4 linked regions of the Lonchura striata genome follow. The protein of the gene in region 3 purifies or fractionates together with the protein of the main gene of each other region. This does not show direct contact. Links are inferred from orthologs where the notes say so. Each region holds a gene or a part of one and is shown on either strand. Other genes may lie near its edges. The genes, in order: SAV1, LIMD1, LATS2 and ANAPC1.

What was found.
Region 1: the proteins of LATS2 (region 3) and SAV1 purify together in Homo sapiens (affinity purification with western blotting; 4 studies listed by BioGRID, with this or other methods). This does not show direct contact. The link is inferred for Lonchura striata from reciprocal best matches to the Homo sapiens genes LATS2 and SAV1.
Region 2: the proteins of LATS2 (region 3) and LIMD1 purify together in Homo sapiens (affinity purification with mass spectrometry; 3 studies listed by BioGRID and IntAct, with this or other methods). This does not show direct contact. The link is inferred for Lonchura striata from reciprocal best matches to the Homo sapiens genes LATS2 and LIMD1.
Region 4: the proteins of LATS2 (region 3) and ANAPC1 purify together in Homo sapiens (affinity purification with mass spectrometry; 3 studies listed by BioGRID and IntAct, with this or other methods). This does not show direct contact. The link is inferred for Lonchura striata from reciprocal best matches to the Homo sapiens genes LATS2 and ANAPC1.

What each region holds. Positions count from the first base shown.
Region 1 is NC_134608.1:2,199,264-2,206,380, forward strand, and holds the start of SAV1 (protein salvador homolog 1), read right to left. Parts: upstream 3,018-7,117; 5' UTR 2,915-3,017; coding exon 2,821-2,914; intron 1,442-2,820; coding exon 1,010-1,441; intron 1-1,009. UniProt on the Homo sapiens protein: Regulator of STK3/MST2 and STK4/MST1 in the Hippo signaling pathway which plays a pivotal role in organ size control and tumor suppression by restricting proliferation and promoting apoptosis.
Region 2 is NC_134603.1:111,426,443-111,433,478, forward strand, and holds the start of LIMD1 (LIM domain-containing protein 1), read right to left. Parts: upstream 3,003-7,036; 5' UTR 2,842-3,002; coding exon 1,704-2,841; intron 1-1,703. UniProt on the Homo sapiens protein: Adapter or scaffold protein which participates in the assembly of numerous protein complexes and is involved in several cellular processes such as cell fate determination, cytoskeletal organization, repression of gene transcription, cell-cell adhesion, cell differentiation, proliferation and migration.
Region 3 is NC_134604.1:71,597,774-71,604,743, reverse strand, and holds the start of LATS2 (serine/threonine-protein kinase LATS2), read right to left. Parts: upstream 3,008-6,970; 5' UTR 2,857-3,007; intron 1-2,856. UniProt on the Homo sapiens protein: Negative regulator of YAP1 in the Hippo signaling pathway that plays a pivotal role in organ size control and tumor suppression by restricting proliferation and promoting apoptosis.
Region 4 is NC_134605.1:27,745,929-27,753,760, forward strand, and holds the start of ANAPC1 (anaphase-promoting complex subunit 1), read right to left. Parts: upstream 3,017-7,832; 5' UTR 2,904-3,016; coding exon 2,691-2,903; intron 1,908-2,690; coding exon 1,746-1,907; intron 1,619-1,745; coding exon 1,567-1,618; intron 1,004-1,566; coding exon 894-1,003; intron 741-893; coding exon 658-740; intron 1-657. UniProt on the Homo sapiens protein: Component of the anaphase promoting complex/cyclosome (APC/C), a cell cycle-regulated E3 ubiquitin ligase that controls progression through mitosis and the G1 phase of the cell cycle.

The sequences.
Region 1 (7,117 bases), on a different chromosome or scaffold from region 3:
AATTTCCTGGCTGGCATTTCCATTTTTCATGGAAGTGTTTCTTTGATGAAGAAGGCACTGACAGGTTCTAATCCCACACATGAGGTCAGCAGCATTAAAAGCTGATGTTCTTCCTGGCAGATTTCTTTTTCTAGACAGGAGATTCATTTTATTAGCCACTAATTACTACTTTGTTCACAGATTACAAGTGACAATGTATTTCATATTGAAGGGATGTTATTTACAGGTTTGAAATGTTCCAAACTCCTTCTTGGGCATAGTTTTTATAATATCAGAGTCAAATATTTCAGAAAAGTAGTATGTAATGGATTTTTCTTTTTTATGTTGTTTTGTTTTAGGAAACAAAGGCAAGTTCCAGTGAAACTAAGAGGGGAACAGGCATATTTACAAACAATTTTAAAAGCTGAACGAAAGGAGTCAAGGATTAAGGAGTCAATGCCAACACTAATTAGATGCCAATTTACTAATTACAAAAAACAGTCATTCTTCCCTATGACTATTTGTAAGGAATTATTTCTATTATTGAAGTCAAATTCAAACAATGAAATGAAGTAATAAGACGATAGTTAAAATGTAATGCTAATAACAATAACAATTAATATTCATATTAACATTAATAATAATAATAATAATGTAATGTTGTAATTTAGAGTTGTTGGTTATTCTCTACATTATGAAAATAGGAGATGTCCCCCAACAAATAAAATTCCCTGCTAGCCAGCAAGTGATGTGTAGAGAAGATGTACATACGCCTGGCATTAAAAACCCCAAAACTTGCTTGGCCTTACTCCATTTATTTAAGAAAATAATCCTGGTTTAAGTCTATTTTTCTGTTCTGGATATCTGTGACCAAACCCTCAATTCCAATTACCCAAATCCCAGAAATGCCATGAAAAAGCAGCTCTGTCCCACACACCTCAGACACAATCCTGATCATCCAAACTCCCCAAACTGCACCCAAACTCTCACCAAAACCGGAATTTTAACAAAAGCAACAACGAATCCTTACCTGAAGTGTGCCTCCCATGATTCTGGGACATCCTCTGGAAAAGATCGCTGCTGTGCTCGTAATACCTGTAGTCCTCGTGCAGGCGTCTCCTCTGGGCATCGTAGAAATGATCGTAGTAATAGCCGCGGGCTCCGGCGTCGCCGTTCTCCAGCCCGGGGGCGGCTTCTGCCAGGAAGGACTGCGAGGAGGAGCCGTATTCCCTGGGCACCTCCGCCAAGCCCCTGGCCAGGTAGGAAGGTGCGGACAGTCTGTTGCTTTCTCGCCTCATTATCTCGTGGGGCGGCCTCTGCACCGCAGTTCGGAGGAAGCTCTGGTTGCGGGACACGATCCCATCGCCGCCGGGCGCGTAGGCAGAGGATGCGGAGTCGGGAGGGCAGATATCGGTTCGTCGTGGAATGGTCGGACCGTGGCGGATAAAGGAAGGCATCAGATCTGCCAGAGAGCACGGAGGAGAGGTGAGAACTCTGCCGGAGCAGCCGCGGTGATTTACACACTCAAACTGGGGGAATTCTCGTGCAGGAGCCGCTAACGCCTGTGCAAATGTGGTGGTAACGCTGCAGAGAATCCTGGCGCACACACCACACCAGGAACCCGCTGAGCATTCTGCCAGTAAAACTGCAGCTGCAGTAAACAAACCAACCCCAAACCCATCAAAAAAACCACACAAGAAAAGAACAAAACACCAAACCACCCACACTGTGCTGTGGCTGTATCAGTCAGGGTTCGTATCTCTCAGAAAAAATCCACATATCTTGGCTACTGCTTCTTTGGGAATGTTGTCCTTACAAACTGGGAATGACAAGATATTAATGCCCACAGGAATCCAAGATAGAATTCACGCTGCCCCCACTAATCCCAAAGTCACAAAGTTCAGCCAGAAAAACGATGTCATTCCATAAGCATTAAGTTCTCAAATTATCAGGGAGATAGTTCACTTTCTCCTTTAGAATTTCATTGCCTCCCTCCAGTATGTGAAACATTCCTCCTCTCCCTACTTTTACTTTCAACACGATATAAATACATAGATTCCTTCCAGATAAATCAATATAGATGATAATTTTCATTTAGAACGACGTTACTCCTATTGTCAATTACTTTTTATTCATAAACTCTTACAGCTTACGGTTAAAATCTGGTGCACCCCAGGTGTCAGCAGTCAATTTATTGAGCACACAGACCCATTTCAGCGTCGGGTTGTGTTTCAAGACCAACAAAACCAAACCTTGAGCACACTTTCGGTGTGCATTTGTGGTGTCCAGCCTCAGGAGCGCAGGGCTGCGGCATCAGAGCCAGGGGCAGCCCAGGTTGAGCCACGGGCAGGAGCTGCAGCATTTGTTTCCGCAGGGATTTTATTTTACGATATTTTACCTGTCTGGCGGGACAGTTATCTCATTGACAATGCCCAGGTGGGGCAGCGGGCTCATGGATGGACGGAACCCAGAACAACTCGGGCTGGCCGCCCGTGCCGCAGGCACCTTCCCCATCCCGCACACCCTGAGAGCTCTTGGCTTCATTTCACACAACTCTGAACCCCTGAGGCCTGCTGAAACAGCCACCGAGAAAATCACAAACCCCACCAAGAAAACGCTGGAACGAGCAGGGCTCCCTTTGAAGCTTCCTTTGAGCTTTAACTTCCTTTCAGCTTTCACCTCCCAGGGCTCGTAGCAGCACTAAGCACACATTTACAGGGAGCAATAACCCTTACACGCAGCCACAGGGGTAACTCCCCCTCACGCCCGGCCGCGCAGCTCCGGGGCCCGCCGCGCCGCACACGAAGGCCGGGATGGGCCCCCCGAGCCCCCGACACTCACTCCGCAGCAGCGGGCTCGTCTCCTTCTTCACGTACTTCCCCTGCACCTCGCCCGGCTTGGAGAGCTCCGTCCGCGTCTTCTTCCGCGACAGCATCCCACCTCCCGGCCCGCTGCCACCGCCCGCATGCCCGGCGCCGCTCCCCGCTCCGAAGCCGCCCCCGGGGGCCGAGCCGGGACCGGGAGCGGGGTTGGGATGGGGACGGGGACGGGGATCGGGACGGGGCCGGGGTCGCTGAGGGGACGCGGCGGGCGCGCGGGGCCTTGTGGGAAGGCGGCGGCCGCCGCCCTCCGGCACGGCCGCGGGGCAGCGCGGGAGCGGCCGCAGCGCCCCCGCGCGGCAGGGAGGCCGCGGCACAGGCGGAGCGGGGCAGCGCGGGAGCGGCCGCAGCGCCCCCGCGCGGCAGGGAGGGCGCGGCACAGGCGGAGCGGCGGGGACGGAGCGGGCGGGAGGAGAGAAATCCTGGGATGAGAAATCCTGGGATGACAGAAATCCTGGAATGACAGAAATCCTGGGATGAGAAATCCTGGGAGGAGAGACAGCCCGGAGTGAGAGAAATCCTGGGAGGAGACAGCCCGGAGTGAGAGAAATCCTGGGATGAGAAATCCTGGAATGACAGAAATCCTGGGAGGAGAGAAACACCGGAATGAGTGAAATCCTGGAATAATGACAGAAATCACAGAATAATGACAGAAATCCCAGAATAACAGAAATCCCGGGATGACAGAAATCCTGGAATGAGAGAAATCCGGGGATGACAGAAATCCCGGAGTGAGAGAAATCCTGGAGTGAGAGAAATCCCAGAATGACAGAAATCCTGGGATGACAGAAATCCCGGAGTGAGAGAAATCCTGGAATAATGACAGACATCCCGGAATGACAGAAATCCTGGGATGACAGAAATCCTGGAATGAGAGAAATCCCTGAATGAGTGAAATCCTGGAATAATGACAGAAATCCCAGAATAACAGAAATCTTGGAATGAGAGAAATCCTGAGATGACAGAAATCCCGGAATGAGTGAAATCCCGGAATAATGACAGAAATCCCAGAATAACAGAAATCCCGGGATGACAGAAATTCCGGGATGAGAGAAATCCTGGAATGAGAGAAATCCGGGAATAATGACAAAAATCCCGGAATGACAGAAATCCCGGAGTGACAGAAATCCTGGAATGACAGAAACCCCGGAATGAGAGAAATCCTGGAATGACAGAAATCCTGGGATGACAGAAATCCCGGAGTGAGAGAAATCCTGGGATGACAGAAATCCCGGAGTGACAGAAATCCTGGAATAATGACAGACATCCCGGGATGACAGAAATCCCGGAATGACAGAAATCCTGGGATGACAGAAACACCGGAATGAGTGAAATCCCGGAGTGAGAGAAATCCCGGAATGACAGAAATCCCGGAGTGAGAGAAATCCTGGGATGACAGAAATCCTGGAATGAGAGAAATCCCGGGATGACAGAAACACCGGAATGAGTGAAATCCTGGAATAATGACAGAAATCCCGGAGTAATAACAGAAATCCCAGAATAACAGAAATCCCGGGATGACAAAAATCCTGGAATGAGAGAAATCCTGGGATGACAGAAGTCCCGGAGTGAGAGAAATCCTGGAATGACGGAAATCCCAGAATGAGAGAAATCCTGGGATGACAGAAATCCCGGAATGAGTGAAATCCCGGAATAATGACAGAAATCCCAGAATAATGACAGAAATCCCAGAATAACAGAAATCCCAGGATGACAGAAATTCCGGGATGAGAGAAATCCTGGAATGAGAGAAATCCAGGAATAATGACAAAAATCCCGGAATGAGAGAAATCTCGGAGTGACAGAAATCCTGGAATGACAGAAATCCCAGAATGAGAGAAATCCTGGAATAATGACAGAAACCCCGGGATGACAGAGCGACAGAACCCCACAGTGATGGAATCATGGAATCTCCGAGGCTGGAAAAGCTCTCCGGGATCAACGAGTCCAAAGCCGTGCCCGGTGCCCACCTTGTCCCCAGAGCGCTCAGTGCCACATCCCGGCCTTCCTGGGCACCTCCAGGGATGGGCAGCCCCTTCTGCTACCTGACAACGCTTTCTGTGGAGAAATTTTCTCTGGTATCCCATTTAAACCTCCCCTAGAGCAACTTGAGGCCATTTCTCCTGTCCTTGTTCCCTGGAGCAGATCCCAAATCCCCCCCGGCTGTCCCCTCCTGGCAGGAGCTGTGAGAGCCACAAAGTCCCCTGAGCCTCCTTTGCTCCAGGCTCAGCCCCTTCCCAGCTCCTCAGGAACTCTCCATTCCCTTCCCAGCTCCCTCAGGAACTCTCCATTCCCTTCCCAGCTCCTCGGGAACTCTCCAGCCCCTTCCAGCTCCTCGGGAACTCTCCAGCCCCTTCCCAGCTCCCTCAGGAACTCTCCATTCCCTTCCCAGCTCCTCGGGAACTCTCCAGCCCCTTCCAGCTCCTCGGGAACTCTCCAGCCCCTTCCCAGCTCCTCAGGAACTCTCCATTCCCTTCCCAGCTCCCTCAGGAACTCTCCAGCCCCTTCCCAGCTCCCTCAGGAACTCTCCAGTCCCTTCCCAGCTCCTCAGGAACTCTCCATTCCCTTCCCAGCTCCTCAGGAACTCTCCATTCCCTTCCCAGCTCCTCAGGAACTCTCCATTCCCTTCCCAGCTCCTCAGGAACTCTCCATTCCCTTCCCAGCTCCCTCAGGAACTCTCCATTCCCTTCCCAGCTCCTCAGGAACTCTCCAGCCTCTTCCCAGCTCCTCAGGAACTCTCCATTCCCTTCCCTTCCCAGCTCCCTCAGGAACTCTCCATTCCCTTCCCGGCTCCCTCAGGAACTCTCCAGCCCCTTCCCGGCTCCTCAGGAACTCTCCATTCCCTTCCCAGCTCCTCAGGAACTCTCCAGCCCCTTCCCAGCTCCTCAGGAACTCTCCAGCCCCTTCCCAGCTCCTCAGGGATTCTCCAGCCCCTTCCCAGCTCCTCAGGAACTCTCCAGCCCCTTCCCAGCTCCCTCAGGAACTCTCCATTCCCTTCCCAGCTCCTCAGGAACTCTCCATTCCCTTCCCGGCTCCTCAGGAACTCTCCATTCCCTTCCCAGCTCTGTTCCCTTCCCTGGACATCCTCCAGCCCCTCGGTGTTTTTTGTCATGAGGAGCCCAGAACTAGGCACAGTTCTGTACCCCGTCCCCCTGCCTGACCAGGAGCAGGGACCCACGCTGGTCCCCTCCTGCTTTTCCCACCCCAGGACTGTGTGAAAATCTTGCAACGAGCCCCCAATACTTCCCATATAAAGGCGAAGAGTAGGGATGCAACTTCAGCTGAACAGAAGCCAAGGTGTGTTCACTACCTGTCAGCTTTTTACACTTCAATGTCATACTTTTGTAATGCAAAAACTACTTTTTCACAGCTGTCAAGCCATCCTTTTTATTATTGTGCATGCCTTTGATAAACTTGCAGATACTATTTGAAGTGTTTACAACATCCATGGGAAGAGAGGTGGTGGCTGTCCCTGGATCCCTGGAAGTGTCCAAGGTCAGCTTGGACAGGGCTTAGAACAACCTTGGGATAATGGAAGGTGTCCCTGCCATGGCAGGGGTGGGAATGGATGGGCTTTAGGTCCCTCCCAACCCAAATTATTCTATTATTTTCATGCTGGATAAAAACCAAAAAGACACAAGTATGCATTGTACATTAATGTATTTTTTATACTCATTATAAATAATGTGTCAGTTGCTTCCTCTCTCGGCTTTACATGATGTTCTAAGGACAATATATTACACCGGAACAAAACAAACTCAATAGAAAAAAAATAATATACATTTGTTTTCCTTTATACAGAAGTTGTTTGTCATAAAATGACACCAAACAGGAGATTGGACAGGTAAATGATGGAAAACCTGAGTGACAGGGATGGCATGTGCTGGAAGTAAACAAAAAGATTTTACTCTTGATCAATCCAGACTCTTCCCCCTGCTGTAACACATAACCTGGCTAAAACCAAATATGTTAAAATCCTGTTTCTTTCCTCAACCAGAATTCAAACAACTCAATTTTTCCTTGTATTTAAAGTACTACTTGGAGCATGTGCCACCATGTAGACTTTTAAATCATTCTAAATTGACAAGCAGCACTTCAACTGTGTCAATTTTGTACACCTCTATTTAACCTGGGGTCTGTCCCCTTCCAAAACCCCCAACCTGAAATGTCTATGTGCCTTTATTTTCACAGTGATTCATAAAGAGCTGAAAACATTTAAAACACTTTGTGTAATGAAGTAGTTCATATCTGACATGGCA
Region 2 (7,036 bases), on a different chromosome or scaffold from region 3:
CTACAGGACAAAGCCTCCTTCTGCCTTGCATCCTTATTTTGTGACAAAAATGTAAAAGTAATCTAACCATTAACTGGGTTCCTCTGCCTCCTGAGCCCATCCCCAGGCACATTTTAGATGAGGTATGATCCAGCTGGTTTACTGAGAAGACACAGCAGGGTCTGTTGGAGAGAACCCTGACACCTCTCCAGTGGAGCTGAATGTCACCTCCAGAAAAACATTCCCATTTTCGAGCATCACCTGCCGCGAGCCTGCTGTCCCAACACCATCTCCTTTATCAGCTCCTTGTCACGGCATTCAGGCTCCCCTAGCGAGGCTCCCTGATCTCATTCAAACCGCGCGCTTCCTGCACAGGACGGAAAGTGCCAAAACTTGTTTCCAGGCCAAAACACTGTGAGTAGAGCAGCTGAACACATCACTTTTCTGCGACAGGATAAAAAAATGCCCCTGCCCTGCCACAGGGCTTAATTCAGTCTCGGATACCAAGATAAACAATCCCGGCACAGCCCTATGCGGGCAAATCCCCCTGCCTGCTGCCAAGAAACACATTTTGTTATGCAATCTGCAGCTGAGCGCTCGGTGGTCCCTCCAGCTACATCCCAAATCTCGGCATGAAGCTCTTGTGTGACTCAGACCACCACTAAGCCACCCACCGACCCCACCAGACAGGACCCAGTGCAACAGCACCTGTGCTGGCCGAGATGCAAACCCTTCCTTAGTACTAGGCTGAAGAGTTTAATTTGTCCCTCTTCTACTTCTGCAACTGCAGGTCTAAAATAATGAGAAATATCCATACACCTGGCCTGCTCCCATAGTTTCTTAAATTAACCATGGAGTTTCCAACCTTCCCAGCAACTCTGGGCTTCCCTCTCCCAAAAGCTGAGCTATCTTATCTGCTGTTAAATTGTGAAGTGGCACAGCAGGGAAAGGAAACACGCAATTTGACCCTGACCTCCTGCCATCCTGGGGTAGCAAATCAATTTAATCCAGAAGGACATTCAATATTCTTATCAGGAGATCCTCGTACATAAGTGGTTCCTTTCCACTGCCAAGTGCCAGCGATAACCTCTGGTGGTGGTCTGGACTCATCACAGACCCCAGATTTAGGGAAGAACGTGCCTACTGCCTGTTCTGACATCTTCAGGACATACCAATCATTTCACTGCTGATGGGATCCAGCACCTGGAGGCAGAGGGAAATCCTGGCAATTTTGGGAAACCACCGCCCTCCCCATCTCTGAGACACTTCTCCCTCCCCTGTACTCCGTGCCCTTCTCCATGACGGCTGCCTATGCAGGCAGGACTGCCCCGCAGGCTGGATGGCTGCCTTCCTGCCCGTGGTCGGGACACGTCCTTCTAAGACACAGAACCAGTAGTATTGTCAAAAAAAAGTTAAGTGCCTCCCTGCTGGCAATGAAGGGCACTTCAAAATACTCTGTTCCAGCTTCTTCCTAGCACTGCCGCCCGCCCCCCAAAGCTGCTAAACTACCTTTGCTTTAAAATTACAGAGGTAGGATTGAAGAAAAAGGTGTTGCAGGAGGAAGAGCTTCTAATCCCAGTGATAAATAAAAGTTAAATAAAATAAACTCTGCTCTAGGCAACTGACAGAGCACAACCAAGCAGATGTACAGGCAAATGCAATCCTGCAGGTCTGAACCCTGCCGTGACACTTTGCAGTGAGCGACGGGCGGATCGCCTCCTTACCAAAGTAATCAGCCTTTGGCCGAGCATCCATCTCCTGCTCCAGCCGCTGGGTCAGTGCCTCCAGCTTCAGCTCAGCCGCCGATGGCCCTTGCTCTGGCTGCGGAAGGAGGGTCTGGCAGGGCAGCTTCACCTTTGCTGCGCTGGAGCCATCCAGGTGCCCCGAGTCTGACCGCGGCCCGCTGACGGCCTCCGGGAAAAGCCTCTGCGGCGCACTGGGAGCCGGCATCCCTCGCGAGGCCAGGCGCGAGGAGCCCGCCTCAGGGCTCCCGCTGCTGCCGGCGGGCCTGTGGGTCTGGCCGCGGGCCACCAGCTGACTGCCCGGGCTGCGGTATTCCACGCTGGGAGCAGCGGCTGCGGAGTCTGGCGGGAAGGACACCGAGACACCCTGGTACCACGGCTGGCCGCCATCTCCTCCGGCTTTGGGACCGCAGGGCTCAGCGGAGCCTGAAAACCCTCGAGTGGGCTGCGCTGAGGGTGCCGAGAAGGATGAGGACCTCTGCTGCGGCGGGGGCTCCTCTGGCCCTACCGAGGGTGCCGAGGGGATCCCGGAGTTTGAGAAGGAGGAGCTCTGTCCGGCCGGCATCGGGTCACGGCCCCCGACACCTCGCCTGCCCTGGCCGCCGTTCTCCTGCCCGCCGCGGCAGGGCAGGGGGTCGCCGAGGCTCCCAGCCTGCTGCTCCCCGCGCCCCACGCCAGGCTGTGTGCCCCCCGCTCGGGAGATCCTGTCGGGCTCCGCTTCCCAGCCCCGGCGCCCGGCCTGGCTCCCCGGGGCCCCGGCACGTGCGCCGCTCTCTCCGAAGCCCCGCTCCCCTCCCTCGCAGGGCCTCGCTCGCGGCCCCTCGGCGGCGGGGGGCGGCTTCGAACCCCGCGCCACCGGCGGGCTGGGACGGGGGGGGTGGAAGGCGGCAGCCCCTCCGTTCATCGCGGCCATCAGCATCTCCTCCTGCTGCTGCTGCTGCTGCTGCTGGAGGTGGATCTTGGCCATCTTGGTGGCGAACACCCGCCTGGTCTCCTCGAACTCGGGGTTGTTGCCGGCACCTTTGTCCACCCGAAAGAGACCGTCCTTGGAGGCCTCGTACATGTTGAGGTCCTCGATGAACTTGCTGGCTTCCAGACCCAGATCGTCGTACTTGTCCATCCTGCCCGGCTTAGCGGGAAGACCCCCGCCGCCTTCTTCTTCTTCCTCTTCCTTCTCCTCTCCTCCTTCCCGCCGGGATCAAGGTAACGCCGGCAGCGGCAGCCGCTCCGTCCCGCCGCGCCCGTCCCCGCCGGGGGCGTGGCCTGGGGCGCGGAGGGGGCGCGGTCACGGAGGGCACGCCCCGACCCACCCGCTGACCGCGCCCAAGCCACGCCCAGCGCCGAGCGCGCTGCCCGGCCCGCTCCGCAGCGGGCGCGCGGTGTGCCCGGAAGGGCGCGGTCCCGCGCACGTCCCGCCGCGTCCGAACGGGCTCGGGAAGGGCGCGGGTCAGCCAGCACAGCTGGGAACGGGGTGCGCACGGTGGCTAAAGGCACCCGAGTGATGCAATGAAAGTGGTTTTGCCTCGTCTCTGGATGAGAATTCCAGAGTCGGATGATATTCCTCTGGATGATACTCCTCTTTTTCACCCTGCAGCCCGGAAACCTTCCTGAAGAAGCCTTGTGAAAAATCACAGGCGCCCTTTGGGTAAAACAAAAACAAACAACAGCCCTACTCCCCCATGAAAAACTGCGAGGAAAATCTCATCCCATAACTATTGGAGCAATAAGTATGTATAGCAGGAAATTATATTACTTTTCTTGGTGTAAATAGACATTCTATGCTGGATATCATGCTTAAGTTAGCATGACTAAAGGAACCTGGATCACTGCAGGAAGACGACCCCTTGCCTGAAGAATAAAGGATACCTCTGGATGCCCAAGATAACATCAGCATCCCAGCCTTCCAGGCACCTTTGGGAACACCCTCACCCCATTATCCAGCATCATACATGTAACTGCAGCAAGACCAACTCCAGAGACATTCAGATTAGGAAAGAAGCAGATGGATCATGACATCATAAAATTATTGTTGCTTTGGAATTTGGTAGCATATGTGTGATACATAGGGACTGGGCAAAGCATGTTGTTCCCAAATGCTTAGAAGGTATAGGAGCTGTCTGTAAAACTGCATTTGGGGTGCCCCTATGTGATTGGGACACTTCATGTCTGTGATGAAAGACTTACTCCTGTGAATCTACACTTTACTTCTCAGTCTCCCTCTTCTGTCAGCCTGGGCCAGTTGCAAAATTTTCATGGCAAAACACAGCCTGGAACTGCTCAGAGGTTGGGGGCTGCAGTAGGAACCTCTGCTGGGTTCGTGAGAGAGGCTGGTTGGTAGGTAGCTGTCATACCCCTGATAAAACTTACTGGTGCAGTTGATCCTACAGGCCCAGGCACGTGTCCGGCATTCCCATAACTTGTTATTGTAATTCTCCCCCAGGCACCAGGAGGGAGGGCCAAATGTTAAGGAATGTGGAAATTCTCTGCCTTTAATAATGGCGAATTGGGCTGTGACCAAAACATGACAGAAATAAAAAAAAAAAATTCCCTCCCCTCTTTGACCCATTCCCTTACAAAAATACTCCTGAGCAACTGGGGCCAGACCTGTGAGATTTGAATTAACGTGCTTAAAAATGATGGCACTGTGAGCCTCTGGAAAAGGTGCCTTGCCTTTCAAGGCAACCTCGTAACTGCTGTGGTGTCTCCGAAGAAGCTCTGAGCAGGACCGAGAGGCTGAGGCAGGATGAGCTGGAGGCTGCAGCAACAGCCTTAGGCTGGAGCTTGAGCTGATGAACTTTGGACTCACAAAAGTTAGCCCAGCCATAGCACAGCTTTAGATAAGGAGGTTTATGGTTTCTAGGGAAGACAGGTGGATGGGAATCCCAGCACAGGGCGAAGCACAGCAGTGGAGCTCCCCCAGTCCTCAGGACCTGGAGAAGTGGCACCCCAGCACATATTGCTACTAACCATGGCCTGACACTTTTTAAAGATATTGAAAATGCTGGAGCTTTTCACAATATCAGAGAAATATCCCAAATATCAAGCAGCCCCATCTATCAGACCTTTCCAAGCCCTCCTCTGCTGTGAGGATGAGGGTAGGAGGGGTCTCATGGCTCTATCAGGCTGATCCCCACAAGCCCCGTTTCACTTTGTGAGAAGCTGGGTCCCTGGAGGCTAAACCCCACTTTGCACAAGTCCCAGGAGTTCAGGAGGAGTTTTTAGACTCTGTCTGGTGTACACTGTACAAAGACAACAAACCCCTGCCTGTGCCAGGGCTCTTTGTGCTGGAGTGGAAGGGGTCCCATTTTTGTGGCTGGGAGAGGCCACAGTGGCCCCCATCAGCTGCTTCATGCCAGGCTGGTGTAGGCTCAGGTCACCAGTTACCAGCGAGAGTGACTACCTCTTTTGTGGGTCTTGACCAAAACTGTCAAGTCTGAGGTAAAGCTCAGCTGGGGCAATGAAAGCCAAAACAGTTTCAGTGTCTAAAGAGCATCCTCAGAAAGGGCTCCTGGAAGTATGTTTTTAGCAACATCCTGGGCTGACCAGGAGAACCACAGCAAGTGACTGAGGCCTGGGATGCCTCCTCCTCATCGCTGGCTTCAGGATGCTTTTGGAGATGGGCTTAGCTGAGGTGCTTAGCTTTCAGTCTGACCACTTTTATCTAAAATGGGCAAGCTTCAGTGTTCAAACAGTAAGTAACAAAAAATTGGTTCTGAAGCACATATTCAGTTCATATTTGTACAGAGAATGACAGAAAGGAAACAGAGCATCAGGTAGATAAGGATGAGAGCGTGAGCCCCAGCACTGCTTTACTTGCTGGAGGAATATGCAACGTGGACAAAGAGCAGTTGGAAAGGAAATTACACATCGTGCTCCTTCTTGCCTCCTTCTACCCAAAGGATGTGAAGTTAATCAGGAGAAGCCATGTGCCTGTGGATGATGTGCATCCAGCACATCAGAGACTCAGACTTGTGTCTACTGGAGTTTTTTTTAATTCCAACACACTGAGATGAGGCTTTTCCATCCCTCTAAAAAACCACCCATTTGGTGGAGCAGAAGGATTTGGGGGAAGATATCTCTATTTTCGGCTTTCAACACAAAAACCAAGGAAAAATCTAACTTCCATCAGATCATGTATTTTAGTTTTCTTTTTTAGGGTCATGCACACATTTTCTGCCGTTACTTTTTATCTAACATCTGTAAGTCCTTTTACAGTCTGACCTGGAGGAGCTCACCACTTTGCAGGGGGAAGGAGTGGGGGGAAGCAGACTTCTTGCCAAATGGCTGCTCTGGATGCTGCTGACCTTCACCAGCTATGTAAAGTACATTTCCTTCCTATGCCAGAGGATCAAATCAGCTGTCTGCAGAACAATGCTTACACGGACGGCATGGAAAAGGCTGCTGAAGCCCTTTGGATAGGGAACCCCTCGCACTGGGCTTGGTCTCCTTCCAGGCTCCGCATGCATGAGCAGACACTTTGATGGCAAGCGCCTTCGAAGGGGGATCACTGCCAAGCGATTCAAAGGCATCTTGGAGTTGAAACTGCGACGCTTTCCGTGAACATCAGGCAGCAAAACACCTTTGAAACTTCCTGCTCAGATTTATTCTTTTCTGTGAGATTTGTGCTAGGGGTATTCCTAAGTGAGCAGATGATTAACTTGAACTTTCTACTAGACTGGAGATGTAATACTACACTGACTTGCAGACCCTTCTGCTGTGATTAGATATGCTCCCACATGTTTATAGTTCCTGTGACATTTACAGCCCATGCCTATTAAGAAATTAAGGGGTCTACGATTGCTGTTATAACACAGGACCAAGATCTATGAGCCAATTTGAATTAACTTATTCTAAACCCTACCCCTTGAAGAGAAAAAAAAACCAAACAAACCAAAAAACCAAAAAAACGTTGCTCATTTAATCTGTTTTTGTTCCTGTGGGCAAGGCTTACACACTGCATTTATTAATGCAAAATAACGCTGACAGCTTGTAATTCAGCCCCGCTCCACGTGGCAATCTCAGCTGCCCATGAGGTGGAGGGAGGCAGTGATTTGGGGAGAAGCAGCCCCGAGCGGTGTTCCAAGCTTTTGGCTGCACCTCGGTTGGAGTGCTGGGCACATCACCGCAGCCTTGTGCTGGGGCAGTGCCGCTCTCCAGGGCCGGCAGGCTGGGGCACAGCTCTGCCTGCCCGGGTAAACGGGGAAGTCGCGATTGAGAGCAGGAAGGGGATCATCCGTCTTTGTTTCTTGCTGCCACGTTGGTGTCTGGGCTCACATTGCAGAGAGATGGAGAAAATGTGAAGAAATTCTCCACCA
Region 3 (6,970 bases):
TACAAACTCTTTTTGTTGTGATAGCTGTAGCACTTCCCAAAAAAACAACCATTTCCATGCATTTATCATCATTTCTCACCACCAAGCAAACAGCTTACTGCTGTGAAGCCCAACAGAATCGGGACACATTCACTTCTGAAGCCCACAACCACCCCATCAGGACAGAGTCTACATCAGGCTTTCCTCTACCAAGGTCTGAAATGCAACAGTGCAGTCAGACCCCAGACTCTTCTATGACAGTTCACCAGTCTGAAATGCAGGAGCACAGATTAATCGCTTGATATTAACCCAAGTCAACATTTTTTGTTAGGATTTAAATGCTCCATTAACTAAAAACCACCTATAATGTGTTTGAGGACTTGAGCTCCTCCATTCAGTGCTCTGCATTAATATACTGCAACGCCAACTCACAGAGAAGTGACAGCAACATTTGCCAATTGTTTTAAGGGAAGTGCTAAAGCTGTTCATCCAAATTTTAATGCTTCCACAAACCAGCTATTGGTCAGTAACAGATCAAGCTTTCATTGTCCCAAGCAAAACAAAAGCAACTGCAGGATCTCAAAAAAAGTTTTTTATTTCTACTTGGACAGAATATAGCAAAAGATAATACACAGGCTTGCTAAAAAATAAAATACAATAGTATTGCAGCCTTCTGTGGATTACATCATAACTAGCTAGTGCTTAGTAGATACAAAGCAATTAACTGGTCGATAATTTTCTTTCTTTTCCTGACAGCAGAAGGCACCATATGGCTTGGTTTAGGCATCTAGGTTGTTCTTCCTTTTCAGTCCCTGTGCCAATCCTCAGGCCTGGGACGCACTGGGAAAGCTTGCAAGGCCCCCACCTTTTTGCAGCAAAAGACTGCTTTCCCACTTACACACATGCTTCACATAAAGAACTTCTGTGACCTTTAGCCTCAGCTCGAGTCTAATAATGCTGGGTCAAGCCAGCTGGCAACTTCCTTAGCTTTACATTTACAATACTGCTTAAACCAGAAAGAAATGTTGCTCGCTTAGACAGTATGGATGAGAGCAGCAACAGCAGCATTGGAGCTAACTGCAAACCTGTTTCATATTTTGCAGAGTTTTTTTTTTTTTTTCTTAACTAAAAATGTAAGATAAGTAAAACAAAAAAAAGAACTAAATATTACAGATGATTTACAAGGAAAGACAAGCTGCTGGCTTTTTTATATCTTCCTGTGATCTGCATTTTTCAGAAAAAATCATTAAATGGTTGTATGCTTTAAAAGATATGTAGTGTGTCTCATTCTGTCTAAGCATTTTTAACTGTACATCTGGATTTGGATAATTTCAAATCCTTCTAATCTGCACCCTGCCTGCAGCATAGATATAACAACAGCCTTCCTGCCAGCAGAAGAAATTATTTTTGAGCTGTTAGCCATTCTGACTAAACAATCCTAAGGTCTTTTCCAAAATGTTACATGTTCTGTACTAGTTAGAAACTTGTCCATTATCCTGAAGGATAATGGACACTTCAAGCAGGTGCAGCATTACTTTAATTACATCAAGTTAAACAATTACGGAGTAACTAATTGTTTCATTTGAGAAACACCAATAGCTGCTCTGTCAGCAACTAAACAACCGATCAATGACACACTGAAATTATACGTTTATGTCTGTTTTCCCAGCAGCACTATCTATTCACTCTCCTGTTTCTTCATTCACCAACAGGCTGCATGTGCTAGCGGCTCACTGGAGCTGGGACACAGGCAAGAAACTAAAGCTTACCCAAGCTGGTGAGCTGTTTCCCTGTAACTGTGCAGGCATGGAGTGGGCTGAACTTGAAATCACTGCAGTATAGGAAGGAGTAAAGTTTTAAGAAACTGCTACAACTTCCTTCTATCTCTCAATTTACAGCGATTGCTTTGGGGGCTTTTTTAGAACACCAATTCAAGAAAGCAGGGACTGTTCACTTTGTGTTGAAGGTCTACAATGGGGGGGGAAAGCGTTTCAGGAATTTCATTATTATACAAACCGTGGTCCTCTTTATAAGTGGGCACATTGTGGAAACGGAGAAAAGTGAGAAGGGGATTTTCCCTAAAACGATTCTGCCTTTCCTGCCAACAGAACTGTCCAAAACTGACTCTGCCCGTGTCCCACTGCCAGCCACAAGCACCGGCCCAGCTCAGGGCTGTGGGAAGCAGCTCACCTTCCCCCTCCACAGCAGCCCGGCAGTGACTGACCGCAAAGTCCGGACACTCCAAACGAGCCCTTTTTGCGTCATTTGCGCGAGTGCCTCTCCCGGGGAAAGGGGTATTTCAACACGCACGCCGCTCACGGAGCGGCGGAGAGGGTGGCGAGCTGCTGGCTTTCGGCAGTGACCTTCAGCCGGCCGGGAACAGCGGGTGCCCCCGCGGGCTCTGCGTGCCCCGGCCAGCTCCCCGCGGCCCTCGCTCCCTGCCACACCGGCCCCGCAGGGTCTGCCCCGCCGGGTCGCCTCGCACCTCCTGCCGCCGGCAGCCCCTTCTCCCCCCACTCCTCTCGTGGGCAGAAAGCTCCCAAAATAAACTCCGGCCATTTACTAGAGCTCCGGCCAGCTGGGGCAGAGGCCTCGGACAGGCGGACCCCCAGCCCGCTCCGCCGGAGCTGCGCCGCGCTGTCACACAAGTGTCCGGAAAATGTCGGAGGGCGCGGGCAGGGCGCCCGGACTGCCCCCGCCAGGGGACTCACACGCGGGACGCTCGCTCCCGCTTCCAGGACCGACCCAGCTCCGCTCGCCCGCACCCCCCGCTTCCCCACAGGAATCTCCCTTCCGCGCGGAGCAGTTTTGGGGGGTGGGGAGCGCTCCGCCCGGAGCTGAGGGGGAGCCCGCGCCCCCCGCAGTCTCTCCGCTCACCTCCCGGGGCGCCCGGCGCCGCCGCTCGCCCTCCGCGGTCGGCTCGGCGCGGCTCAGCAGCGGCGGCGGCGCGGGCCGCTCTCCATCCTCCCCCTTGGCCGTCCCGGGCGCCGAGTGCGGGGCGCAGTCGGGACATTCGCTACATTGTTGGCATTCCATTCGCGCCACGTGACCCGCGGCGCCCGCGTCATTCCACTCCCCTCCCGGCGCATTCCAGCGGGGGGAGGGGCTTCCAGGGCGGGAAGGGCCGGGAAGGGCCGGGAAGGGCCGGGAAGGGCCGGGAAGGGCCGGGAAGGGCCGGCGCCCTCGGGACCGGAGCGGCGCGGGCCGCCCGCGCTCCGCCCGCCGGCCCCTCGGAGCGCCCGGCCGCAGGGGCACGGGCAGGAGCAAGGGACGCTTTTCCCCCTCACAAAACCCACTCCGCGTCACAGCAGCTCCTCGCTGGGCTCTGGCGGGAGAGGGGTGGCACTGCCTCCACTTGTTGCGGCAGAATGGGCCGGAGTAGAATCATGGAATAGCTTGGGTTGGAAGGGACCTTAAAAGGCCATCTAGTTTCAAACCCCTGCCCATGGAGGGCACCTTCCACTAAAACAGGTTGCTTAGAGCCCTATCCAATCTGGCCTCTGACACTTCCAGGGATGAGGCATCCACGGCTTCTCTGGGAAACAGGTGGCTTGGAAATGCTCTTCCACTCACCGCATGCTCCAAACTAATTTAGATTGAAAGGTGTGTGCTGATAACCATTATTTCTGCCAGTATCCATCGCATGCTGGACTAACCAGACACATAAAGTTGCAGCACTGATCAGTGCCTTCTTAGGGTTTCCTTTTGGTTTCTGGTTTGCTTTGGGGTTTGTTTGTTTTTTGTTTGTTTGTTTTCTTTCGAGGACCAGTTACTTGTTTTTCATATTGTTTCATAATGGTGAGGAGACAAGGGAGCTGTGAGGTATCAGAGATCAGAGGACAGACAGGGAATTCACATCTGGAACAAAAATGCAGAATGAAGCTGCAAAGGATATTTGGATACAAAGTTCATATTTGACCTTGCTATGGATGGAAGTACCTGGAACCAGATTCATAGATTCACTAAGACTGGAAAAGATCTCTGAGATCATTGAGTCCAACCATTAACCCAGCACCAATGTGTTCACCACTAAATCACATCCCCAAATGCCACATCCATGTACCTTTTGAACACTTCCAGAAGTCCTGACCTCCCAACTTCCCTGGACAGCCCATTCCAATGCCCCAACCACACTTTCAAAGAAAATTTTTTTCCTAGGATGCAATCCAAACCTCCCCTGGCACTACTTAAGGCCATTTCCTCTTGTCCTGCTGCTTGTTACCAGGAAGAAGAGACAGACTCCCACCTCACTAAACCTCCTTTCAGATAGTTTTAGAGAGCGATGATGTCCCCCTGTGAACCTGTTTTACAAGAAAGCAGGAATAATATAATTTTAGCTATCTCTCTGGTCTTAAATAAACACAATTCACAATGAGAAATAATCCCCACACTCCCAAATACATTAATGTTTGGATGTGGGACGCTGGCTAGTCATAACCAGGGGGTATTCATACAGAGTAAAAAAACACAAGAAAATAAACTTTCTTATATATAGGCATATATCTTTAGATCATTAACATGGAAGAAGCCTGCAGTCCTGAAATTCTTCAAAATTCTTAAAATCCTGTTGCACAGCTGAGAGGTGCTCATTGTGGGGTTGCTCTGTTTGGCAGGGAAAATGTCAGTCTTGCAAACTGTTAAGACACATTTAATCATGTGATGAGCCCCAGTGTCTTCCACAGGACTGCAAGCACAGTCTGTGCATAACTGTCTTTCCAGGATGGGAGCTATATTTACAGCCTTTTCCAAGCCAGGGAGACTATTTTTGTAAGTAATATACTTATGGACAGTCCTATCTCAGGATATTTCTCTGAGCTTGCTTATTGTAGTTTTTTTTTTTAATGTCTTCCATGCAAAATTGTCAATAGTGCCTATATGAATGAATAATGCTTATTAAAAACATAGTGCTTATAAAAGTCCTGGTTTGGGAGAAGAATAGAGTGCTGCATTTCAGGAGAAAAATGCAGCCTGCATAGAAATTGTTTAGCATCTCATCTGAAGGCAGTCAGTTACTGTATATAAATTGCTGTCAGAATTTCAATAGTGTCATTGACTGGAATATATTGTAGGGCAGGGTCAGGGCGGGGAAAGAGGAAACTTTTCTCTCACTCTGGAAAGCTAAAGATAAGGAAATCCATTAGGTTCAGACCAGATTCCAGTGTTGGCAGAATATTGCAGGAAAATGTGGGTCATTTTGCAATCTTCAAATACCTGCAAAACTGAAGTAAGTTTTAAATGATATGACAGATGCAGCATGGCTTCATTTTCTGAATTACTGCTGTGCTTATCCGATGAAGCATAGCAACATGATTGCCCAAACCAGACATTGCTCAATGGCTTGAGACCTTTTCCCAACAAAGTTCAGGCTGGTTTAAAGGAACAGCATCAAGATAAAAATTGCTTACTCTGTGCTATAATACCCTTTTGTAAGATTTACTTGTTAACAGCTTTCTTAAATCTAAGTAAAAGATATTTTAACTTACTTTTCTCCTTTGGAATTTTTTGTTTTCCTATTGCATTCTGATCCATCTGGGAATGAGACTCAGTTGCACGATTTTGCTTCCTGGTTCCAGCCAGCTGCGCTTTCTGAATTTAACGCATTTGCACAGAATTGGGAATAGAATTCCCACCAGCAGAGCAGAAAGTACAGGGGAGATGGGTTGCATCCATCCTCTAGAAGGTGCCCGTATTCAGCAGGTGCACCACAGATGTAAACACTCTGTAGATGGTTTCTGGTTTTACCCTTTTAGAAACGCAAACTAGTGGAAATTGCATTCCTCAGAAATACAAGGGAAATTGAAGTCAGCTAGGTTGATACAACAACTTGGTTAAAACATGATTTGATCTTTCTAAGGTTTTTGGAGGTTACTGTGAAAGTAATCTCTTTGGAAATTACCATCAAGTCTTTCTTCCCAGCTATCTTCTCCCCAGAAAGGCACCTCCAGAAGGAAAGATGTTCCATAAAAAGAATAATGCAATTTGGGCTGTGCCAGCAGCAAGTCTGTTCCCAGAGTAGACTACGAGATAATAATCGACCATGAGTAAGGGTCATTGTGTTCATTCATGGTTTTGCTTCAGGGAGTGATGCTACTGGGTCTGTGGTGATAACAGCACTCATCTGCTGACTTGCCTGAGCAACTGTCTTGCCGTGTGAGCAAGTGGGAAGGACCACAGATCCACTATTTCACATTCTTTCTCCTTCCACCCACCTGCAACAACAAGGGTGGTGGGAGCTCTGCGCAGCTCCATCCTGACATCTGATGCTGTGTGTTGCCTCATCCCCTCCTTGTACTCTTGTTTCACTGTTTGCTGGGCCACAGTGTCTCTTTCTAAATTATTGTATTTGGAACCATTTACCAAATTGTGCTGCTAAAAATACTCCTAACAACCAAGTAATTATGATGTAGGTGGATGAACCTTTTCTTTACACAGTACTAATCGCCACTAAAAGCTTGAATCCCTTCAGAAAACTTGAAAAAGTAAAGCAGGAATATTATCAGCAATGCTTAGTCCTCTGCTAGTTTTTTTTTCAAAAAGAGGAACACACACATGTGAAATAATAGTGAACATCTGAACACATGTAAGCATACATACACAAGGAATTTGCTGACAGTGACATCCTGTTTAGAATAACAGTGACATATTTAGAATAAACCAGTGTGATGTAACATGAATGATGTGCAAGAAAAAAGACTTTACAATGTCACTGAAATGTTCTTGTTTCAACACATTGATTCTCTTTGCAGAGTGATACTGGGGAATCATTCTTCCCTAATCACCAATGCAAAACCAGATTGAGACAGCAGTTCTGAGTTCTCCAGCGCAGTACAGACAATGCAACCTATATGTGAATATAATATGCATGCTTAACCCTGATGCAAAATTGCATTTCTGATGGTCAAAGTTAGGCTCAGTACTTCAATAATTGAGTAGGTAAAAAAAATAAACTATAACAAAATTCTAAGTATGGTTTAGGTATGGTTTTTTTTCA
Region 4 (7,832 bases), on a different chromosome or scaffold from region 3:
ACCCAAGAGTGGATTAAAGCTGCTCATCAGCACATTGTCCAACTGCTTCCTTTGGGATGCAGAGAGGGCTTCCACAAGAGTTGGAAGCTTCAGCCAACAGGGAATGGGATCCCCACTCTGCAGGGAATGGGATCCTCACCAAAGAGGAAATGGGATCCTGCAGCTGAGAGATAATGTCTCGATGCTAATCCCTCAGTGACTCTCCCAGCTGACCATGACAGCCTGAAATCAATTCCTAGGACAAATTTAATGGAATCAGGCTGGTGCTTCCCAGATCCTATTCCTGGGACCAGCACACCCAAATAGTTTTTAACACTCAGCTTTGAGTGTGCTCACTCAGTCACTGGGATGATATAAAAAGACTGGAAGAAATGCATCAATAAAATCCCAGAATGGTTTGGGTAGGAAGGAATCTTAAAATTATCCTATTCCATCCACTGCCACGGGCAGGGGCACTTCCACCATCCCAGGTTGCTCCAAGCCCCATCCAAGCTTTCCTTGAACACTTCCAGGGAGGGTCAAACATAACTTCCTCCTTTTCCACCCAATTCCACCTTTTTCTATCAGAAACACACGGATATTTCACTACTGCCCTTCAACTTTCCATTCCTTATTAGATTATCCAACAGGAAACCACCCAAATTCCTCAGCTCATACCTGGGTGGACTTGGAGGCACCTCATGGGAAAAACTGCTGCGCTCAAATAACAACCCATATTTGGTTGGCCAGACATTTGCAACCTATAAAAAAAATATGGATTTATGGTGGGATAAAAACATCAACCATGTGCTGTGTTGATGATGTTTGAGGGTCTTATAGGAAAATACGATGTTCAGGCTTTTTGCGCAGAGCAGGGAAACATAAATGTGGACAAAAAGCATGGCAGAAGTTACCTGGAAAGGCAGAGCAGCGATGTAATCCTTCCCCTCCATGCTGTGCACATTTATGCAGGAATTCTGCAAAATGCAGATACATTTCTCCACTATTTCGTCATTGCCTGACACTGGAAAGGAAGGAACAAAACAATTACACAGTGAAGTTTCACTCTGTTTCCGACATCCCTTATACACAAAAAGTAAATTCTGACATTTCAAGTCGTGGTGAATGAGCTCCTAGAGTGTGTCCAGAAAGGGGAATGGAGCTGGGAAGGGGCTGGAAAACAAAGACTGGCAGAGAAAGCTCAGTCTGGTGTAAAGACGGCTCAGGGGAGACCTTCCGGGTCTGCACAACTCTGTGACAAGAGGGTGCAGCCAGGTTGGGGTCAGGCTCTGCTTTCAGGGAACAAGGGACAGGATGAGAGGAAATAGACCCAAGTTGCACCAGGGAGATTCAGGGTGGATATTGGGAAAATTCCTTCCCCAAAAGAGTATCCAGCCCTGACACAGGCACAGGGCTATAAAAGCCACGTGGATGCAGCACTTGGGGATGTGGTTTTGTGGTGGCGTTGGCAACAGCTGGACTTGGTGGCCTCTCAGGGCTTTCCCAAACTAAACAATTCCATGACTCAAAGCCAAGAAAGCTGAACTCAGAGCATTTGCCCAGCAGCACAAGAAGCAGGACACTCACCATCAGCTTTTTCTGATTTTTCCTGGAACACAGTGAAGTCACACCACAAGGCCTGAAACCCAACAGAGCATCATTAATTCTCCAGAACGAGCTGCTCCCACACAATGTCACCTTCCCCTGTTCCCTGCCTAGAAAGGGTCTGTGGATTCCCTCAGTGCCCCTTTCCCACATTTCTGTACCTGCAGGACGGGGCTGTCAACGGTGAATGCCTTGTACACAGTGGACGCTTGGCTTCTGCTGCCCTTGCTCCAGATGACCACATTGCTGGCCACGTACAGCTCCTCGTCATAGTCCACCTCCTCCCCGACATCACTGATGCCTTTCCTCAGCTGCCAGCTTTCCTGGAAAACAGAGGTTTGTCAAAAGAAAAGCCACAAGACCCACGGGTGTGATGAGTTAGGCCAGTTACAAGGTGCTGGCACAGAAAAGTTGTGTCTGCCCCATCCCTGGAAGTGTCCCAGGCCAGGCTGGATGGGGCTTGGAGCACCATGGGATAGTGGAAGGTGTCCCTGATCATGACAGGAGGTGAAATGAGATGATCCGTAAGATCCCTTCCAACCCCAAAAAACCCTGGCATTCCATGGTAAGGACAATCAGGATCCATTTAGATTTATTTTGATGGAAGCCAGGGAGGAATGGGCAAGGGAGACCCTTTGTAGAGTTCTGAGATTTAGAGTGAACCCCCTTCCTCCCTGAACTCCTTCTCAGAGAGGAGCTGGGATATGGATGGATCCAATCTTAGGCTCGAACTCCAGCAGAGCTGGGGCTGTTCACCTGGCGAAGAGAAGCCTCCAAGGAGACCTTAAAACCCCTTCCAGTGCCTAAAGGGGCTCCAAGAGAGCTGGAGCGGCACTTGGACACGAGTCTGGATTGACAGGACAAGGGGAAATGGCTTCCTACTGCCAGAGAGCAGGGTTAGGTGGGATATCGGGAAGGAATTCTTCCCCGGGAGGGTGGTGAGGCCCTGGCGCAGGCTGCCCCATCCCTGGAAGTCAAGGGCAGGCTGGAGGAGGCTTGGAGCAGCCCGGTCTGGTGGAAGGTGTCCCAGCCCACGGCGGCGGGCGGGAGCCGGATGGGCTTCAAGCTCCCTTCCCTCCCGACGCCCAGCTCAGGAAGGCTCGTACCCGTTGCCGGTCGTGGATGGTGACCTCTCGGAGGGAGCCCACGAGTCCTGCGGCGCCGTCGGAGGAGCAGAGCTCCGGCGCGGGCTGCAGACGCCGCAGCTGCAGGCTCAGGGCGCTGGGGTGCCGCCGGCTCTGCTCGCGGCCCCGCGGCGCGAACTCCTGCAGGTCGCCGGCCGCAATCATCGTCGCCCTCTCGTCACAGTGGTCCGACATGGGGCCCCGATATCCTCATTATTTCCGGGACGCGCCGGCGGGTCCCGCGGGCACCTGGACGCGCGGGGAGCGGCACCGGCGGCCCCTCACGCGGGCGCGGCCATCTTGGCGCTCCCGGGCTGCCCCGCGCGCGCCCGCCCCGCCATGGCCGCGCCTGTTCCCGCCGTGTCCTGCGGCATTCCAGTGCCTCCCGGCGTATCCTCGGGGGAGACTTCCCCCAAAATGCCCTTTCGGTGCCACAGTCCCGCCGAGCGCTGGCACGGCGCTGCCGGGCGGCGGTGGTTGGGGACTGCTGTCCTCCCGTGGCGACTTCCGTCATGGATCGCCCAGCTCACGGCCTGGGGTCGTGCTGGACTGTCTTTGAAATGACGGAGGATACGTTTAGACGGATATTGGGAAGTAATTCTTCCCTGTGAGCGTGGTGAAGCACTGGAAGAGTTGTCCAGAGAAGCTGTGGCTGCCCCATCTCTGGAAGTGTTCAGGCCAGGTGGGAGCAACTTGTGATAGTGGAAGGTTTCCCAGCCCATGGCAAGGAATTGGATCATGTTTAAGGTTCCTTCCCACCCAAATCATCCCAGCATCCCAGGATAAAGAATAATCAGAGTCCATGTAGAGTGATTTTGATGGAAGCCAGTGATGTAAAAAGGAAGAAAGGGTAAAGGAGATACAGAATAAACCCTCTTGTTTCCTAAACTGCTTTTCAAAGAGGAGGTGGGATGAAGATGTATCCAATCTTAGGCTCAATCTCCATCAGAATTGGGAGTGTTCACCTGGAAAAGAGAAGCCTCCAGGGAGCTCTTAGAGCCCCTTTCAGCGCCTGAAGGGGCTCCGACATAAAGGAAGAAAGAATTCTGTGCTGATGCTCTTTTTGTTGTTGTTATTGTGTCTCTTGAACTGGAACAAGGATGTTTGTTCCAGAAAAGCCCTGCCCTACTTCTGCATGGCCCCTTCTCCAGTTACATCTTGTTCATTTACCTGGCATTTAGTACCAACAATCCTTGTCCGTTATTCCCAACAATTCAGCTCCATGGCCATCTGTGTTCGAGACATGGACATTGGCCCAGAGAAGCTGCCCCATGCTGAGAGTGTTCCAGACCAAGTTGACAGGGCTTGGAGCACCCTGGGATAGTGAAAGGTGTCCCTGCCCATGCAATGGGTGAGACTGGATCATCTTTGAGATCCCTTACAACACAAAACATTCTGGGATTCTGGAATTCTCTGATACGGTGCTTAAGAAGCTACTTTGTGGGACCAATGAGGCTTCTGCAGCCACCCCGGGCATGGGTACAACTCTCTTGCCACCATTCCATGTGCTTGTGACATGGATTAGCATAAATCTGTGTAAGTCTGGGCTCTGCTGACTTATCCCGGCTAAAATCCTCGCTTCTGTCACATAGGAGGGGCTGTTCTGTCTGGAATGGAGGGAGATTGTGCCATCCCCTCTCCCTCCTGGATAGGAGCAAAGGTTGGGAAAGACCGTTCAGATCATCAAGTCCAACCATCAGCCATCACCACGACCATGTTCACCACTAAACTATGTCTTCAATTGCCACGTCCACATGTTTTGTTTTTTTTTTTAACAGTTCCAGGGATGACGACTGTACCACTCCCTGGGCAGCCTCTTGCAGTGCTTTACAACCCTTTCTGTTCTCATAGGATTTGTACCCCATCCAACCTGGCCTTGGACACTTTCAGCAATGAGACAGCCACAGAATCTCTGGACAACCTGTGCCAGGGCCTCCTCAGCCTCCCAGGAAAAGATTTCTTCCCAATATCCCATCTAACCCTCCTCTAAAACATGTATGGAGTAGCTTGATGGGAACTGAAAGGGCAAATTATTTATTTTCAAGACATGAGTTTCACAATAAGCAAAGAAGGGAGAAGCTGTGGATGAATTGAAAACATACTTGAAACTGGAGTCTGGGTTTCTTTGGTTTAAGCTGAGACAGAAGTGCTTCTCAGAAAGGAGAAGCAGGGTAGGAAAAGCCAATGTCCAACCTTTGCTTTCGCAAAGTGATTTGCAGAGCAGGAGAAATTGTTCTGGGAAGAGCCAGCTAAGCCAAGGGACAGGATGTGCCCGGTAAGAGCTGCAGGGTGTCCCAGTGCCCAGAACAGGCACAGCAAGAAAAAGGCATTTTAGTGGCATCACAAAAAGTTCCGGTTTTCCCTTCAAATTGTTTGGGAGCCGCATCCTGTGTCTGGGGTTTAGCACTGAGCACAAACGGGCCAGCTGCCCTCAGCTAAGGACGTGTTGCCAAAGGAGTTTGGCATTTGAAAGAACAGGAGCCCCTGAAAATCAAAATAAAAATAGGCCCAAAGAGGAAGCAGGAATAAAGGAATGATTTAGCAAAATGAAAATAAAAACACATAAATAGCTGGGAAGAAAATACCCTCAGCAGACAAAAGCCCACACGTCTGATTGCCAAGTGCCATTTCTGCTAAACAATCCGATTTCCCAAAGGAAAAATTGGATCCAAGGTCTCCCAAAAGTCTGGTGAGGAAACAGAGTCAATGCACTGAAGTGAAACTGCAAAGTATGGGTCAGACTCAGACACCTGCATCACTGGGATCCCGCCAAGGAAGAGCTGAGGATCCCTGCAGAGAGGGATCTTTTGGGACCTTCTCACCCAGGCTGTGAAGATAAGGATCTCTCCCTCTGGTGCAGGACACAGCAGGAAAACATGGACTCCTCCTTGCTGGTGATGGATCAGATAACCTTGGGTAGTGACTGGTTTAGCTGATTCAGGGCTGATCCTGCTGCTCAGGAAAGGTTGTCCCTCCTTCTTTTGACACCAGTTGCCTTTTTGCCTCTCCCACTGCCCCAGGAATTATTCTTAGGGCCAAATGCCACCTGATTCCCAACCCAGGCAGTGGGAACAGGGGATGCTGCTTGGCATGATCTGGTGAGTCAGGGCCAAAAACCATGAGTGGTTTGTGGGGATACTCCCCAGCAACTGTTGAGTTTGGGCTCTGAGGATGGAAATCCATCACCTGCTTCAAAAAAGACCATTCCAGTATTCCATATGCTGTGAGGAGCAGGAGGATGGCACTGAGGTATCCTAGAGCCAAAGGGGCCAGATTGGCTCCTGCCAACTGCTTCCAGGCTTTTCCTATCACCTGAGAGTTTCTCCTCTGATTTCTCCTCTCCGATTTTTTCCTCCCTTTCAACCTGTTCCTCACGTCAGGCTGTGCAACAAACCCTCTGGAGCTGGAGCAGAACCCAACCTGCTGCAAAGAAATGACCCAAATCAGGGGATTTTTGGGAGCTGTTGAAATCCTCTTTATGGTCCTGCATGTTCTTGTTTATTTTTTAAATTCCTCTTTTGCACAATCTGCTTCTCTTCCTCACCCTGTGTTAGTGGGGTGACTGTATCCTGATGCAAGGGCCATTCCCAGCCTGCAGCCCACAAAGTCCAAAGGCTTTTCCATTGCTTTGTTTCCAAAAATTGCAAAGCCAGCAGGAGCAGCAAGGAATGCAGCCAGATCAAAGTGCACTCATGTAGCAAAGGCTGACCACAAATGACAGGCATGGGACAAATGTCTGTCCCTGGTCTTGTCCTGCTCCCTGAGGGATGCTGGATCCACAGGGAATATGCCCAACATCTGAAGGAAAAGCAGTGCTGCTGGATCTTCATGGAAGATGCTCCAACTTCTTGCAGCAGTTTTAGTGAGTTTTCCTTCTTCCCTTTCCTCGGGGCCTCCAAGTCCATGAGCCCTTCCTTGGCTGCTGATGGCTTCAAGATATGGGAAGCTGGGATGAAAATTCAATCCCTGTCACCAAAGCCTGGGAATGTGCAGTGAATAAGCAACTTTGCAAGTCAAAGAAGACTGGGAGTGATCTGTTGCAGTTTTTTAGCTGAGCTTAAGGAGGTTTTTCTTCCCAGATGGAAAAGGCTTCAAAGTGGTGTGTTTCTATTCTTTGGGAAGAGTACAGCAGGCAGTGACTTGTGTCACAGGTTCAGGGAGCAGAAAGGTTGGTGCAGAGAAATACCAGTGCCCTTCAGCCACATCATCAGGATGCTGGTTCCCCAAATCCCAGTCCCTTCCCATGAGGCAGCAGGCGAGGGGAACACGCATGACCCCGATACACCTTGGTCCCAAATGTCCCCATGCAAGGCCAGTGTTGGGGCAGGGTCTGAATATCCAGAAACTCCCTTGTTTCCTTCCCATGCCACAAGAGATCTGTTCAGTTTGCCTTGGGTTAATGGCTTATGTTGGTTTCCCCTGGGTCTTCCTCCTTTCCTTGTTTTTGTCCCTGTTCCCTATTATCCTGCTGGTATGGGCCAGGTGAGAAGGAGCAGTGCCTTCAGCACAGCATTCCCATGCTGGGCAGGCCAGAGGGCAATGGGGTGAGTGAGATTCCATAGGGTGAAGTGACCAGTCCTGCGCTTGGGTCACAAAAACCCCATGGAGCGCTGCAGGCTGGGGCTGAGGGGCTGGGAAAGGTCCGAGGTGTGCAGTGGCTGATCACAAGCCCAGGTGTGCCCGGGTGCCCAAGAAGGCCAATGGCAGTGGTGTGGCCACAGGATCATGGCAGTGACCGTCCCCCTGTGTGACCACTGGTGAGGCCTCACCTCAAATCCTGGGGGCAATTTTGGGCCCTGCATGAAAAGAAAGACTTAGAGGTGCTGGAGTGTGTCCAGAGATGGGAATGGAGGTGGGGAAGGGTCTGGAGCACCAGGAGTAGCTGGGGGAGCTAGGGGTGGAGGCTCAACCCGGAGACAAGGAGGTTCAGGGGGGACCTTGTCACTCTCTACAAGTGTTTGGGGGGACCTTGTCACTCTACAAGTGTCTGAATCATGGAATGCTTTGGGTTGGAAGGACTTTAAAACTCATCCCATTCCCTGCCGCGGGCCAGGGGCACCTTCCAATAGCTCAAGCTGCTCCAAGCCACATCCACCTTGGACACTGCCAGGGATGGCACAGAGG